Linked DNA regions of Schizosaccharomyces pombe. The protein of the gene in region 1 binds, or shares a complex with, the protein of each later gene. Each region holds a gene or a part of one and is shown in the gene's direction. Other genes may lie near its edges.

Region 1 (4,815 bases):
CTGCGACGATCTGATGCCATCCTTCGGGACCAAAAACAGTGAAAAAATTCAGGCAACACATCAGTTCTCAAATACTCAGGTGTTACTCCATCAGTAGATGCACATTGTGATACAACTTTGAGAACTATCTTTTTCATTTCTTCGTCTGGTGAATTAAATTCACGTAGAAGAATTTTCATGATACGCCGTGTAAAATGACTTGCATACTCAGGTTCCATAAGAGGGATAATAAAACCGGTTGCTTTTAAAAAGGCGGCTAAGCTTTTACCACGATGCCTTTGGACTCCTGACCATAATGGCTTTAAAACGCTGTCAAAAGCTTCAATACCGTAAGGAGTAGCAGCTTCAGCTAAAGCCGATAAGGACAAAGCTGTCATAATTCGTACTTTTTGTTGTTCATCTTCAAGGCCGTGACCAATACAATCAACTAAATTTTTTAAGTGTGGTAAAATAGAGCATCCTAATAACAGAGCAATCTGTTGAATAATCCGAACGCCAGTATGCCTGGCTTGCCATGATTTCTTACTTCTACAAACAGCTTTTAAAAAAGGTAAAAGAGCCGGCACGCCTAGTGCAGAGGCAACAACCGAAAAGGCACGGGCTGTGGTGTTTCGGACATATTCGTCGACATGATCAATGTCAGGTCTCATTGTAGCAATCATATGAGCCAAGCCGGAAGCTTTAGCTAAGTTACTAATGATTTCCCGACCTTCAGCACGTGCATAGTAATCTTCATCAATAAGAAGGGGTTCAATAACTACGAGAATTTTATGAGTAAAAGGGCGAACCAGATCATCCAATTTGTATAATATACGATCAATAACCTTAACTAAAAGATGGCGCTCCTGATCTTCCAGTGTTCGTTCCATTAACAACGGAAGAATCTGATTAAATAAAGCAGCTGCACCAAAGTCGCGAGCTTGATCCGTAAGCTGGCGTAATGCACTCTTACGCATGGGAGGAGTACCATTTTTTACTTTCAGAAGTAATCTCAAAATTTTACGTTCACGAAGTTCCGCAATTGTAAGCTTGGCCTCGTCCTCCACCTTGAGTAACTTGCCAAAATATTTAACATCTTCTTGCTTAAAAAAAGCTAAATCACCTACACCGGGTATTTCTGTAGGCAATGCAGCTGGTAATTCTTTTTCTAAAGGAAGCTCTTGCTCTTGTGGAACGTGATATGTATCGAGCGTAGTACCTTTTTGAAGTAGTTCAGGATGAATTGATTCTAAATATCCAGGAGGAGGCTCCAAAATAGCATAGCCTTCTGACGGCAAAAGCTCATTTAACTCTTCTTCAGTTAATAAACGGACAGGAGGTCGTAATTTTTCTTCTACTACATTTACTTCCTTATTAATAAGATCTTCAGAAATTCCGTTTTCTATAACATGTTCAGATATAGTGAAGTTTTCAGGAGCTTTGTCCCAACGTGATCTACGCTTAGTAGTGGAAACCTGCGTAACGCTAGGTGGAGCCTGATCCCAACGAGAGCGTTTAGGCTTCTGAGATATTTCCGTATTATTAAGCTCTAGTTCTCTTTTTTTGTCCGATATGCTTTCCTCCTCCTCCACCTCTTTTAGTGTTCCTTCACGACGTCTTTGATTTAATTCCATATGAACTCGTCGCTCTTCCTTTTCTAATTCAACCTGCCGCATAACCTCCGCATAAGATCTTCCATTGCTCTGTGTCCCATCAGGTTGAAAAGCATCTACGCGGGTTGGAGTAAGCTGTCTATCATAACGCTGCTTTTGATAATCTGACTCGCGATCCTGAATTTGCTTTTTTGACTGTCTCTCTTGCATAGGGTCATAACTTTCATCAGCGTATTCATTTAGTAGTTCCTTAGGTGCTTCATATTGACGCACTAAACGATAACTATCATTAACATCGTTTGTACGTTTATAATCGTCTTCATCCTGAGAGATATCATTGCGCACGTCAATTGCGGAGTCATATTCTTCTTTTGGGTTACTGGACTTAAAAAGATGAGCATTATATTGTAAATCATTAGAATCCTGGGTACCTTCAATATTTACACTTCCATTTGTCGACGAATTCTTCGCTGCCTCTTTTTGTCTTCGCAAAAGTTCTCTTTCAGCACGAAGCCTTTCTATTTCCACATCTTCTACTTTATTTAGGTTAGTAACATCCATTTTGAACATTTTATAAGGATACGTACCAGTTGACATGTTGATGGCGAAGAAATGCTTTCATGTTGCGCGTCTTATACTCATTTAAATATACTCAAAGCATTCTAAGCTTCGTTATCAATATTTTAAAGTACAATACAGTAACTCGTTTTGTAGAATAACGATAAGATTAACGTGTCTTATTTAGTTTAACCCTCTTTATTAAGATTTATTTGCGAAAGAAATATATACTATCGAAAAAATTAGTATGAGGAATGATATTGAAATATCGAGGTATCATATTGCAACAGCTCAAGCTTTTAGCACCCCCCCCCTCTGCTATTGTAGATCTTGTAAGCGTTGCTGCAATTAATTGATAATAGACAAGCGTCTTACGGTTTCTACTTGTATATCCTAATATTTGGTGGAACCTTTACAAATTGATGTAAAATCTCTTTGGAAAAATTCAGCACTATATCGCTTTAATGTGAAGTTTGGCTTATAAGGAATGTAATTAACGATGATGGTTGCTAGGACACGCAGTCAAAAAAGAAAGCTTGAAGAGATTAATAACCAGAAGAAGATTAAAACAAAAAAAAAGGCCACCGGGCAACAGACTTCTAATACGAAAAATCTGCGTGATGTTAAAAAGAAAGGTAAACAATTAGCGTATGTTCCGAGGACGTCACCAAGGAAATCATATAAAAATGGGGAATATGTTTTAGCAAAGATGAGTAGCTTCCCATGGTGGCCAGCCAGAGTAGCGAGCCAAAAATCAATACCCACTGAGGTACGCGAACGATTGAAACGAAATTTTCGAATGGACAATGGAATATTTGTTCAGTTTCTTCCTTCAAGAGATTACGCTATTATTTCTTCTTCAAATGTTTTGCCCTTAACTGTTGATGAATCAAGGTTTATTTTGGACCATGATTTATCGACAAAGTATATCCAAAAGACGGTAGGTCTCATCATTGCTTCCGTAAAGAGAAAAGTTTCTTTTTCTGATGTCGAAGAGGATGAGTTTGAACCAGAGAATACTCGTAAAAAACTTCAAAAGCCCATCGAGAAACCAAAAAAGGAAAAGATAGAAGCCACACCTAAAATTGACGGGGGTAAAAGGTTAAAAAATGAGAAATCGTCGGCAGAAATTTCTCAAACATCGAAGCAACGACCTTCACGTAGGTCAGCTCGAGTTAGGATGGCTACAGACAACGCTCAGAAATCCCCATCTCCAATTCCTTCTCCCAAGAAAACAGCCAAAAAAAGAGTAAGGTTTGCCGGTTCTTTAGAGGAATTACCAAAATTTTCACTTGAATATCAATTGGCTCAGCCTATAAGTACTGTAGATATGTATGCTCAAGTTCATTATATTCGATTTAATACTCTTTTATATTACCGCTACCAACTACAAGAAATCCTACTGTCATATAATCATTATCCTCAAGAATCGGATATGTCTCATGTGCACCAAATATTGGAGATGATTGAGAATTTCAGCGCAATAAATTCTGAACTATTAGAATCAACCAAGTTGTATTCACTTTTTACTTTGCTTGTTAAATTAAGCGACATACCGTTGGATGAAAAATATGACTTTTCTTCACGATTTTCGACTCTTCTCCTTCAATTCCAAGCATTCGTTCAGCCCAAAACCATGACAAGTAATGTATCTACAGCGCCCATTGGAAAGAATGCTCAAGTGAACACAGAAGCTGCCAGACCATCTGTCATCACTACCTAACTTTTGATCATACATTCATATGCTTTTGTTATCGAATTACATAACTAATCTTGTTTACATTTAATGTTACGATAATATTTGCTTCCAACATTTTCATTAATATAGAACGCATTATTAGCGCGACTCAATGTGTTTATGGTACAAATCGTTACAATACGTTATCCTAGTATGTAAGCAAGAACAAGCATTGCTTACTACCATTTCGTAGTAGGTACCGTCAGTGTTTTTTTTTTTTACTTGCGATATCTCGTGTATACTAATTTAAAAAAAATGTCTTTCTTTGCTCCAAGGAATAAGAAAACGGAGCAGGAAGCAAAGAAATCAATACCTTGGGTTGAGCTTTAGTATGTAAATAGAGAATACTTTTTAAGAACAATAACATTAACACGTATGTAGTCGTCCCAAGACATTGGACCAAGTTTCCTCTCAAGAATCTACTGTACAAGTATTAAAAAAAACACTTTTATCTAATAACTTACCTCACATGTTGTTTTATGGCTCTCCTGGTACTGGAAAGACGTCAACCATTCTAGCTTTGTCTCGTGAGCTATTTGGACCGCAATTGATGAAATCAAGGGTTTTGGAATTGAATGCTTCTGATGAACGCGGTATCTCTATTATTCGGGAGAAAGTCAAGTCTTTTGCAAAAACAACCGTAACCAACAAAGTCGACGGTTATCCTTGTCCTCCTTTTAAAATTATAATTTTGGATGAGGCAGATTCTATGACTCAGGATGCTCAGGCTGCTCTTCGACGAACTATGGAGTCGTATGCCAGGATCACTAGGTTTTGCCTGATCTGTAACTACATGACCAGGATTATTGATCCTCTTAGCAGTCGCTGTAGCAAGTATCGATTTAAACCGTTAGACAACGAAAACATGGTTAAAAGATTAGAATTTATAGCTGCTGACCAAGCTGTTAGCATGGAGCCTGGAGTTGT
Region 2 (6,614 bases), 2.0 Mb from region 1:
AGAGAGAAAAAGAATCGTGTTACGCTTGACGACTTCACATTTTTGGCTGTATTAGGGAAAGGCAATTTTGGCAAGGTTATGTTGGCTGAATATAAAGTGAATAAAAAGTTTTATGCCATCAAAGTTCTGAAAAAAGAAGCCATTTTAAAGAATGAGGAACTAGAGAGTTTAAAAACTGAAAAGCATGTTTTCGAAGTCGCGAATAAAGAAAAACATCCGTTCTTGCTGAATCTTTTTGCAAGCTTTCAAACTAGTACCAGGGTTTACTTCGTTATGGAATATATTCTTGGTGGTGACCTTATGGTTCATATTCAACGTCAACAGTTTAGCGTGAAACGTGCAAGGTAGTACTTCAATCTTTATTTTTATTTTTATTTTTATTTTTTATTAACCCCATAGATTTTATGGTGCTGAGGTTTGTTTAGCATTGAAGTATTTTCATGAGAATGGAATTGCTTACCGTGATTTGAAATTGGATAATATTCTACTTTGTCCTGATGGTCATATACGAATTGCTGATTATGGACTCTGCAAAGAAAATATGTTGCTTGGCAATACAACTTCCACCTTTTGTGGTACCCCCGAATTCATGGCTCCAGAAGTAAGGCGGAACTTGTTTTGGTTTATTTTATCTAACGAAAATAGATTTTATTAGAACAGCAATATTCCAAGGATGTTGATTGGTGGGCTTTTGGCGTTTTGATGTATCAAATGTTACTGGGTCAATCCCCTTTCAAAGGTGAAGATGAAGAGGAAATATTCGATGCGATTTTAAGCGATGAACCGTTGTTTCCGATTAATATGCCAGCGGATGCGGTTTCGTTATTGAGAGGGGTATGCAAATTTCTAAATATGTTAACTAATTCAAAAAATAGCTTTTAACAAGAGATCCAAATCAACGACTTGGTAGTGGACCAAAAGACGCAAACGAGGTTATGGCTCATCCTTTCTTTGCTAGTATTGTCTGGGATGACTTGTATAACAAACTTTATGAACCATCATATAAACCGCTTATCAACGATCCCCGAGACCTCAATAATTTTGATGAAGAATTTACAAGTATGACAATTGTTAAAATATGGTTAATTACTAACGATCGATTAGGTGCATGTCCAACTTTGACACCTGTCAATACTGTTCTCACACGACAACAACAAGAGTGTTTCAGAGGATTTTCCAGTTTTGCTACTGAATAGAATTAGCTTGTCCTTTGCTTCTGCTTTTTTAAAATTAGAAAATTATGGTAACAATTTCATATAGTTCTGATGCTGCTTCCTTTGCATTCTTACACTTAATTTAGTGTACTCACCCTTTACATGATATTTTTTTTACTTTTCTACGTGTTCATATTTAAAAAATTTCTGCATTTATCATCATTACATTACTTGAAAATAAAGTCGAAATTAGAGAATAATTAAAGTGGCATTAAAACTACTAATGTAAAACTTATCGTTGAATCACCCAAGGTGACTTTGTAGTATTTATACGCAACGTTTGTAATGGCATTCAATCAAAAAGCTAACAGTGAAGTTATGAATGGTTACTGTTTCAGAATACAAAAGTAAAAAATATGAGTAGTTTTTTATTTAACAAGAGTGAAAGGGTTATCTTTGCAGAGATCGGATGGAGGTGGAAGTAAAGCAAGAACTAAGAAGAGAATGAGGGCACTACCACCAACTCAATTATATTGACCAAAGGATTAAATGGGGCCATTAGGAAAACTATGAACGATCTGTAAATATAAACAATCTTTTTTTTTTATGTATAATGCCGGCGACTATTTTGAAATCCACAGCCAGTTCAAAGACTTTGTTAATAATAAAGTTTGATACAAACTCCTCCAGATATCCATTTTATAAGAAACATTTATTAGAGTTAAATTCGGAAAGTACTTTTTTGGGTCTATTAACTAAAGGGCAAGCTGACACATCGATTACGAGACTCAACCAAGACGATGTGAGGCTGTTTGAAAAAGCAAAGACAGTAGCAGATAGGACAAAGGATGTGGCTTATTCATTTTCCGATCCTATTTTATCTACACAGTTGCGAACGCCTCCACCACAACCAACCTCCATTCGATACCTCTATTTTGGTACTTACCGGATAAAACCATGGTATACATCACCGTATCCAGAGGAGTATAGCTGTGCAAAAAATTTATATATATGCGAATCTTGTTTAAAGTATATGAACAGTGATCATGTACTACAAAGGCACAAGGTAAACAACTTTTCAAGTAAGATCATAATGTTATTCGCTATTGCTTGAGTTTAAACGAGGTGTACATTAAAAGATCATAATCTATCCAAATTGAATTTACGGACTAACATAATCAGATGAAATGCTCATGGAGTTATCCACCAGGAGATGAAATATATCGGGATAAGAATATATCAATTTTTGAAGTTGATGGTCAACGGCAACCGGTAAGTAATTTTTTATGCATTTTATACTTATTGATGTTTTTCCTTAGATATATTGTCAAAATTTATGTCTTCTAGCAAAGATGTTTCTTCATTCAAAAATGCTGTACTATGACGTTGAACCGTTTCTTTTCTATGTATTGACTGAATTTGATGGCCAAGAATGCAAAGTTATTGGATATTTCAGTAAAGAGAAACGCTCGGCTTCTGATTATAACGTTTCCTGTATATTAACATTACCCATTTACCAACGCCGAGGATATGGTGTCTTTTTGATTGATTTTAGTTATTTACTTACACAGGTAGAAGGTAAGCTTGGATCACCTGAAAAGCCACTTTCAGATTTAGGCCTCGTTACGTACCGAAGCTATTGGAAAATGAGAGTAGCCAAAGCTCTATTGGAAATCACAACACCGATTAGCATAAATGCTATCGCCAAATCAACATCTATGGTATGCGACGATGTTATATCCACATTGGAATCGTTATCTGTATTTAAGTATGATCCGCTCAAAAAGAAATATGTATTACAACTGAAACGGGATGAACTTGAGAATGTTTATAAAGCTTGGAATATCAAACACCCTCAAAGAGTAAATCCAAAACTTCTAAGATGGACGCCATATCTCGGAGAAGAGCAGATATCTAACCTTTTACTTAAAGAAAATATACTTATTCCTCTACCTCAAAAGCGTCTATTAGATAACTCTCATCATCTGGATTCCGTTTAGTTCAAATAAATAAGTATTTTAATCTTTCGATATTTGTCGTGAAGCATTTGTATCATCTACGGCTTGGTTGTTGCTCTATATTAATGACGCCATTTAATGCAGTAGACAACTCTAGGGAAAATAAGTTGATGGTTGAATTGATAGACTCACAACCTAAAGCACAATCTTGAAGTTGGCTCTTAATGTTTTGCAATTCGATTTCTTCTTCAGCAAGGTTTTCCACACTGCTTATGATAGCTCCATCAAACGAAAATTCTGTTTGTTTCAATACATCTTTTATAGTTGTACCTTCATTCCACTTCAAAGTGGAAAGACGAGAAATGCTTTGCTCCGGAATGTTTTTGAGGTTGATTTTTGAGTTAAGATCGTAAACTTTTTCAACAGAAGCTTGGTGCGGTTTAGTCGGAATGGAAGTAACAAGAGTTTTCTTGGCTTTTGGCTTGGAAGTGGTTTTTCTATTTTCAAAGCGCAAACTTTCAAAAAGGGGAAGAAGTTCATTTCCTATAGAAGGCTCGTCGTTTGGTGGTTCGATTTGTTTACCAGTCGAAGGAGTTGCCCGAACAGTTGGCTGACGGGACGGGTGCTTTGGAGGTAATTTAGGAATAGCCGGTGCTCCTGTTGGTTTTCGAGAAACAGACTTTGCTGATACTTTAGACGAACTGGAAGGCTTGTAAGATGACGTTAATACTGAAGGAGTTTCTAAGCTAGAAGATAAAGCTGCCTGGGTAGCATCACGATCCACTTTACTAAAATCGCTAGCAAATGTGTTTGACTCCAAAGAAGAGCTTAGTTTCACGTCTTTTTGAGACATATTATACTTACCAGCTTCTAGTGCCAAAGCTGTATTTTTCTCGTAAGAACCACTGATGCTATTCTTACCCCTTTCCGAAGAACTCGTTCCACTGTTAAATGAGGGTGCTTGTTCACGACGAGTAGTTTTACGTAAAGAAGGTTTAGATGGAAACAATTGAGCTTGTTCTTGAATAAACATTTCCCGTGTTTGATTATCTCGTCTTTGAGTTGAAGTATCGAATAAGACATCATCTTTTCGGTCTCCTGAAGTCCTTGCAATGGCAGAAGAACTTGAAATTTCTATAACATCACTATGGGCAGATGATGGGGTCCCCCGGGAAACGTTGGAAGAAGGCTTATTGTCAGAAAACCGTCTTTCTTTTTCAACACTCAACTTCTTTTTGGCTGATCGAGAAGAATCAATAGTGAGCTTCTTCTCGATGCGAGGCTGATCCGTTTCTAAATTGGTAACAATTGGGCCGTCCGAAAAATTACGGTTATGTGCGACTCGAGAGTTAAAAGATGAGGAAACTTGTTCTGAAGAATTTTCAGGTAATGATGACCTTGCTTTAGGAATAGCTAGGCTCTTTGCAGGATAGAGATTAGGTTTGTTATCAGCAAAGGAATTACGATAGGCCCAGTCCACTTTGCGGCCATCAGTCGTAGTCACTGAAAGCGGCCTGCCCATATAGTACATATAATTTTTAGCAACAGAAAAAACAAATCGATCGCGAGCAGAAGTGTCCTGAGTTCGCAACAAATGTGGCTTGTTTATTGTCATAGTAACATCATGATCATTAATTACAGTAATATTCTGCAACTCAAATAAAGGCCAGGATTTCACGACTGTCATTCCGCCTTTATCATTTACTTTCAATCTGTGTATATAAAAAATACGAGTCACATCATCACAAGTCAAAGCAATGTAGCGGGGTTTCATCTTTGAGCCAACAACATTAACTCCTCTTTCTTCCTCCACCGGAAGATATGCTAATGATTGCTCATGAGCTTTCCGTTTATCGGTAGTTTGAGCCGAATTGACAGCTTGTAGAATTTCTTGTTCAACGGCATTAGGGTTAGAAGCCATTCGTCTGAAGTGGTGTATTAAATGAAAAAAATTGGGTTAAATAGATAAATATTAACAAAAAAAAAACCATTAATTAAACATTCTACCACTTTCCAATGGCAAGTAATACTGAAAGCGCCTTATTCAACGGAAAAACAAATTTTCTAAGGAAACGAGACTTTTTTTTAATTCACAGAGTCTTTATAAGCAAGGGATAAAATTTTCTTGTAAAATTGAATTCTAGCGGTAAAGAAATATATAAATTTGATAATAATTTTTACAATTGTGGTGGAATGGTGGGTTAATAAGGAGAAATGTCAAAACGTAAACAAGTGACATATGTAGGCAAATGCTATAGAAGTCGATTTTTTAAAGTTTATTTAAACTTGCAAGCATTGTCTACGTTCATAATATTTATATATATTTAAACATCTTTAAATATTTTTGCTGTGCATGAAAAGTACAATAATCCATAACTTTTTTGTTGATGACTTCGCTGTACTTTATGGCAGCTTTGTTTATTCGACGAGCTTAAAAAATCCAAATTATTGAAACAGGAAACACATTGATAGCCATAGTGTAATTCTAATTGCATAACCAGCAACGTTTAAAATGGTTAGCTATAGTTAAGTATTAGTACTACGCAGGACAATAATTATCCGCTCATTTCCACATCCTGTAGAACTTATAAAAGTGTGTTACACAATGAGCATCTTGCAACGAATACTAGATATTTATAGTAACATGCTAGGGATTCTTATTACACTGTTTGGTACAATTACAGACCCATAATCAAAGCATTGAACGAACCAAAGACTTCGCGACAGCCAAAGTTAAAACCTAGTAGATTTGAACAGTACAATTAAGACTATGTATTTTATTTCTTCGTTATCGTAAAAAATATCTTGACCTGTATCCATGGTGATAGAATTTGCACAAAAATCAGCTGTTTTGCATACTCATATATATAATGCTATTGGGACCACGCGCTTCCTCCATAAGCAAACTTCTATCATATAACTTCATAGTAGACAAATCAGGATGCCGTTAACGTTGGCTTTGCGATGAATAACTTGAAGAGTAAAATGTTTAAAAGCTAAGCATCTTTGCTAGGACCTTTTAGCAATGACTTTAAGAGGTACCTTGCTAAAATTAACAGCTTACAAAGCACAATTTACTTTTTTTTTGAGTCCAAAATATGTAAAGAAATAAATGAAATCAAATTGGGTGTATTGTTTCTTTACGTATTTGCCATACAGTTTACAAAATGTCAATGCGCTCAATCGCAAATAGGGTACATGTGACTTGGTGGCTTTTTTTGTTGGGAAGGCTAAACTTTCCGCAACCAAGCCCAAATACTTCTTCAATTTGCATAACTTGTACAGCAGCTGGATGGTATTACTGTAGCATTGTTTTTATCTCTATAAAATCAGAATTTTCTTCTTTTTTTAATTACTCTCTCAGAAGTGTTGGCTTCAAATCAATCTCTTAAAAGTTTTAGTTTTTACCCCCCCTCCAATTGACAATTCTTGTCTAGTCCAAGTTTGTCGTCTGCTATTACTGGCATTTTCAATAATTTTTATTTATTTTTTTTATTTTTTC
Region 3 (4,551 bases), 1.7 Mb from region 1:
TCAACGAAATAGTTAACATAATTGTTTCTCAACGTCTTATTTCGCCAACACAATTGTTAGACATTCTTGGAAAATCAGTCAATATCAAGCTCGAGCACATTAGTGACTCAATGCAATCTGTTCTTGACAATTATCGTGAATCAATCTCGAAACAAAATGAGGCTATTGAAATGGGTAAGCGGGATATTGAAGAAATTACTAGTCAACTTTCAATTCTTCGTACAAGAGCATTTGTCGTGCAAGAGTCTAAATGCTCTACCTGTGGAATCGATTTAGAGTTACCTATGGTACATTTTCGCTGTGGACATTCGTATCATCAGCGGTGTGTTGAAGATGAATGTATTCGTTGTCGATGGTTATAATGAGTCAAAAATATGAAAATTAAATACAAAGAAAGAATGGAAGTAATGCATTATTTATTGTACGAAATAAGTTACTCAAGTCAAAATTATGATTAAGAATATTTCATTAATATTTTTTTTGGCAAAATGGAATTAGGTAGTTACACTTGGATTCTCTGATAAGGTTTCTTAGTTTGAATAAATGAAGATATACATCTGCTTTGCTCATAACGCAAATATCTGCTCTTTTTAAAACTTGTAATCTATAAAACCTTTACCATAAAATCTTGTAATTAACGATTGTTAATGTAAATAATTCAACGCTTGAATGCTAAACCAAACAAGTGAATAAAGGTGTAAATAATAACTCCACCGCCTACCGTAAATTTGGTCGCCAGAATAGACAGTTGACGATAAGTCAATTGAATGCGGTAGTCTGTAGACAAAAAGCGAGATAGGAAATATTTTAGCGAATCCAAAAAAGAGTGAAACGTATCGTAATTAATAGGAGGAAGAATTAAGGACGCAGAATTTTTGGGAAGGTTTTTATTGTCAATTTTCGGAGAAGTAAGCTCTAATGCTTGGCCGACAGCTTCACCTTTTTTATCAAGTTTCTCGGAAATCTTTTTCAGTTCATCATTTATTTCAAGTTCTCGTTCCTTGTCAATGTGATCCACAGCTTCACGAACCAACCGTTTCCTTTTCCTTGGTTCCAATATTAGTTGAACGACCACAAAAAGAACAACGTTAATTCCCATTAATCCCCATGTACCCCAGGTACTTGCTTGCCGGATTTTATCACTCCAAACTTGTTCTTCGTGGTATCTCGATAAAATCGAACGCACCAATCCATTTTGAGCTTCCTCTACCCGCCTTTCCGCTACATCCACATCTTCTTGAGCCTTAATTTCTTCTTCTTTGTTTGAATAATCATCACGGTATAGTTTAGTAAATCTTTCTAAATCAATAGTAGACCAGCTACTACGTCGTTGTAACAATTCGTTGACTTCACGTTGACTTGACGATCTTTTTTCAACCGCTTCAATATAACGCTTTCTTGCTTCAGCTGCAGATAATCTAAAATCACGGAGCTTTGTCTCCTGCTTTACAACCGCGTTCTTTAATGCCTCAATGGAGGAATAACCAGTTAATTCATTCAAGCGTTGACTCGCTTGGAGTATAGTCTGTTGAACTGATCCATTTCCTTTATTATAGATTTTGGGAAAGCGAGCAGCAAATCCCTTAATAGACTGAGAAAGTCGTTGCAACATACTTTCTTAATACTTATACATTACTGTTATATCCTTTCATGTCTTCATATAGTGAGTTAAACATAATGTACTGCTGCACCAGCCATAAAGCTGGTTTACGGAAATATTCATAAACAGCTTAGAATATGCTATTTATAGTTAGGTATCAGCAATACTATAATACGCTATAATACTTACGTTGCGTATCACTATATGTCACATGTCCTAATTAAATATCGTACTATGTATGATACGATATTGAGACTGATCTTAATGATAATCTATTAATATTTATATCATCTGAATACTATAAATAGAGCTACTGCTAAACCTCGTTCCTCAGTTCAGTTACAAGCTATACCAGTGATAGGTAACATTATAACCTTGTTAATACAATACCTACACTCAGTTGCTACTTATATTATCTGTGTATTGCGATATTATAGGTCACAAGGAAAACTCACCGCAGTTCTACGTATCATTAAAACGAATACGAAACTGCGTAGCTAACATTAGGATAAGCGAAACTCACGCTTGAGAGAATGTTGTAGATGTAAAAAGCATTTGAAATTTAAAAAGAAAAAACAAAAAAAAAAAAAATTACACTTCACTTTACAAGGCTTGGGCCACTTTTCTTAGGATTTATGGTAAAACGTACTGAGGATATCGTTTACCCCTTGCAGAAATATAGAATATCATTTCTTTTCTTTGATAAATATATGCTTTAAGTTAATTCAACCTCTACACTAATTTCGATTTTTAATCTGCAGCCCTTTAAAATAAAGAAGACTGTAAATTACTTTAAGAATTTCATTTTTTTGCATATAAAAGATAAAATATGACATTTATCATGACTCGAACAAACGACTGCTTGCTAATCACGGAATAAACAACAAACTTTATATCAGTGCTGGTAAGTTTCGTTACTTTAAATCCTAGAGTTGGATAGCTGTACAAAGCAAGCAATTTCAGCAATTCAAAAAGATTTGGACTATGGCTCAGAAAAAGCAGTTATACGTATTCAGTGACTTTGACGGTATGAAAAAATAATTTCAATAAAAACAGACAACTAACTTTTGGGGTCTAGGAACTATTACACTCCAGGATTCCAATGACTACTTAACTGGTAAGGTTGGGAATAGGAAGATTGTTACAGATATAAAAAGATGTATAAAGGTAGTTAGAAAATGTTCTTACAATTAAGCTTAACTGAATATTTATTGAAGATTTACGAAAATCTGTAAGAGAAATCTATGATTTTATAACATTGGGTCAAAAATTTCCCTGCCCACCTTGAATGCTTTATTACTGCAACACTCGACGGCGACGGTTTACTAACTATGTTTTAGACAACTTTGGAATGGGCAACGCCAACCGTGTGAATCTAAATCAACAAGTTCTTGACGGTTCCATTTCTTTTCGGTAAGCGTTTGACGCGTAAATCAACTCTTAACAATTCATAGTGATGCTTTCGCGAAGATGTTGGATTCAGTGCATTTAAGCTATGATGAAGCTTTGGAGGTTCTCAAGAAGAATGTCGCCATTGATCCATCATTTAAACCATTCTATGAATGGTGTAAGTCTCAAGACATTCGTGTAATCATCCTTTCAAGTGGTATGGAGCCTTTTATTCGTGCACTTTTTGAGCAATACCTTGGCAAAGAAGAAGCAAGTAGTATTGAAATTGTTTCTAATGACATCAATGTGCATCCTGATGGTCAATGGAACATTGTGTATCATGATGACAGTCATTTTGGACACGACAAAAGCCTTACTATCCGTCCGTATGCTCAATTGCCAGAAAGTAAACGTCCTCACATGGTCTATTGCGGAGATGGTGTTTCCGATTTGAGTGCTGCGAAGGAAACAGAACACTTGTTTGCCAAGAAAGGACGTGATTTAATTAAATATTGTGAAAGGGAGAAAATTTCTTTCTCTGAATTCGAAACCTTTGCTGATATCCATAAAGATTTGCAAAAATTATTCTTTAGCAGTTAAATCTGAATAATACCTAAGAAGTTTTCGTACTTCAACATTTTTATACCTAAAGTTGATAGATATTTGTTATCAGCGCCTCGAAACTTAGTTTCAAGCAGGTCCTCATAGCAATTTAAATGCATCATTCACCAACGGTTCGATTAGTTTGGGTTGTTAGAAGCAATGATTTAACATAATTTGTATTTATATACTCATCCATTTGCGAGTCTTGTATGAAAAATCCTATATCATATCAGTCCGTAAGTGGTCGCATTGCTACAATATCTCTTTATTTTTTTTAAGAAAGAAAATAAAGAGATATTAAATTTTGCGTCTTTTGGTCGTGAGATCGCCGAAATAAGGTAGCGAGTATAACATAATGTAGATCACGCATATTGTTATATTTTGGTTTGGTAAAGTTACTCAAAGTCAGGAAACTTGTAATGATGTTTTAAGGGGCTTGCAGAAAAAATTGCTATTACGAAATCCATGTCTGTAATATTTTGGTTATTAATAAATTGAAATAAAATTTAAAACATGAAATATTGTGACTTTATGTATCCTGTCTACTACCATACCTTTCAACCTTCATACAAATTTTCCCGTACTCGCATCATTTTCTTTCTTCACCTAACTCCCCACCGTGTCTGTAAAACATAATATTTCTCTTTCCCACATACGAACGAATAAATAATAAAATACAGTATATGTACAGTAAACGTACCTCAGACACCATTATTTTGTCAAGAAAGTGAATAAGCTTACAATACCCCCGTCATCCAGTGAATTCGTAAGTGGGAAGTTGAAAAACGCATGCTCAACGCAGGATAGCATACAAACGGAAAAGCCCTTATGGATTTTTCTGTGGATGCTTTTCTTTTTAATTAAAAATTTAGTCGTTTATTAACTATTGCTTTAAGTTTTTTTCAACAAGATGTCTGTCTCTGGAAAAATTGGAGAGGTCGATCGTTGGATTGAACAGT

What was found.
Region 2: pdp3 (region 1) and mst2 share a complex: the UniProt entries of both Schizosaccharomyces pombe proteins name them as parts of the mst2 complex.
Region 3: pdp3 (region 1) and ptf1 share a complex: the UniProt entries of both Schizosaccharomyces pombe proteins name them as parts of the mst2 complex.

The regions. Positions count from the first base shown.
Region 1 is NC_003424.3:4,334,599-4,339,413, forward strand, and holds pdp3 (PWWP domain-containing protein), read left to right. Parts: upstream 1-2,482; 5' UTR 2,483-2,649; coding exon 2,650-3,873; downstream 3,874-4,815. Other genes in the region: prp10 (U2 snRNP-associated protein SF3B1), read right to left, coding at 1-1,957, 2,024-2,128, 2,180-2,189; DNA replication factor C complex subunit Rfc2, read left to right, coding at 4,144-4,217, 4,270-4,815. UniProt on the Schizosaccharomyces pombe protein: Component of the mst2 complex which is a highly specific H3 lysine 14 (H3K14) acetyltransferase that functions together with gcn5 to regulate global levels of H3K14 acetylation (H3K14ac), critical for DNA damage checkpoint activation.
Region 2 is NC_003424.3:2,361,987-2,368,600, reverse strand, and holds mst2 (histone acetyltransferase Mst2), read left to right. Parts: upstream 1-1,666; 5' UTR 1,667-1,767; coding exon 1,768-2,220; exon of another isoform or gene 2,221-2,336; coding exon 2,337-2,426; exon of another isoform or gene 2,427-2,473; coding exon 2,474-3,154; 3' UTR 3,155-3,206; coding exon of another isoform or gene 3,207-5,033; 3' UTR 5,034-5,102; downstream 5,103-6,614. Other genes in the region: protein kinase C (PKC)-like Pck1, read left to right, coding at 1-344, 400-601, 646-834, 876-1,059, 1,105-1,196; exocyst complex subunit Sec3, read right to left, coding at 3,207-5,033. UniProt on the Schizosaccharomyces pombe protein: Component of the mst2 complex which is a highly specific H3 lysine 14 (H3K14) acetyltransferase that functions together with gcn5 to regulate global levels of H3K14 acetylation (H3K14ac), critical for DNA damage checkpoint activation.
Region 3 is NC_003424.3:2,603,601-2,608,151, forward strand, and holds ptf1 (phosphoric monoester hydrolase), read left to right. Parts: upstream 1-2,551; 5' UTR 2,552-2,584; coding exon 2,585-2,627; exon of another isoform or gene 2,628-2,678; coding exon 2,679-2,717; intron 2,718-2,773; exon of another isoform or gene 2,774-2,940; coding exon 2,941-3,013; exon of another isoform or gene 3,014-3,054; coding exon 3,055-3,589; 3' UTR 3,590-3,814; downstream 3,815-4,551. Other genes in the region: vps11 (HOPs complex subunit Pep5/Vps11), read left to right, coding at 1-362; protein She9, read right to left, coding at 659-1,612; serine/threonine protein phosphatase PP2A catalytic subunit Ppa1, read left to right, coding at 4,503-4,551. UniProt on the Schizosaccharomyces pombe protein: Component of the mst2 complex which is a highly specific H3 lysine 14 (H3K14) acetyltransferase that functions together with gcn5 to regulate global levels of H3K14 acetylation (H3K14ac), critical for DNA damage checkpoint activation.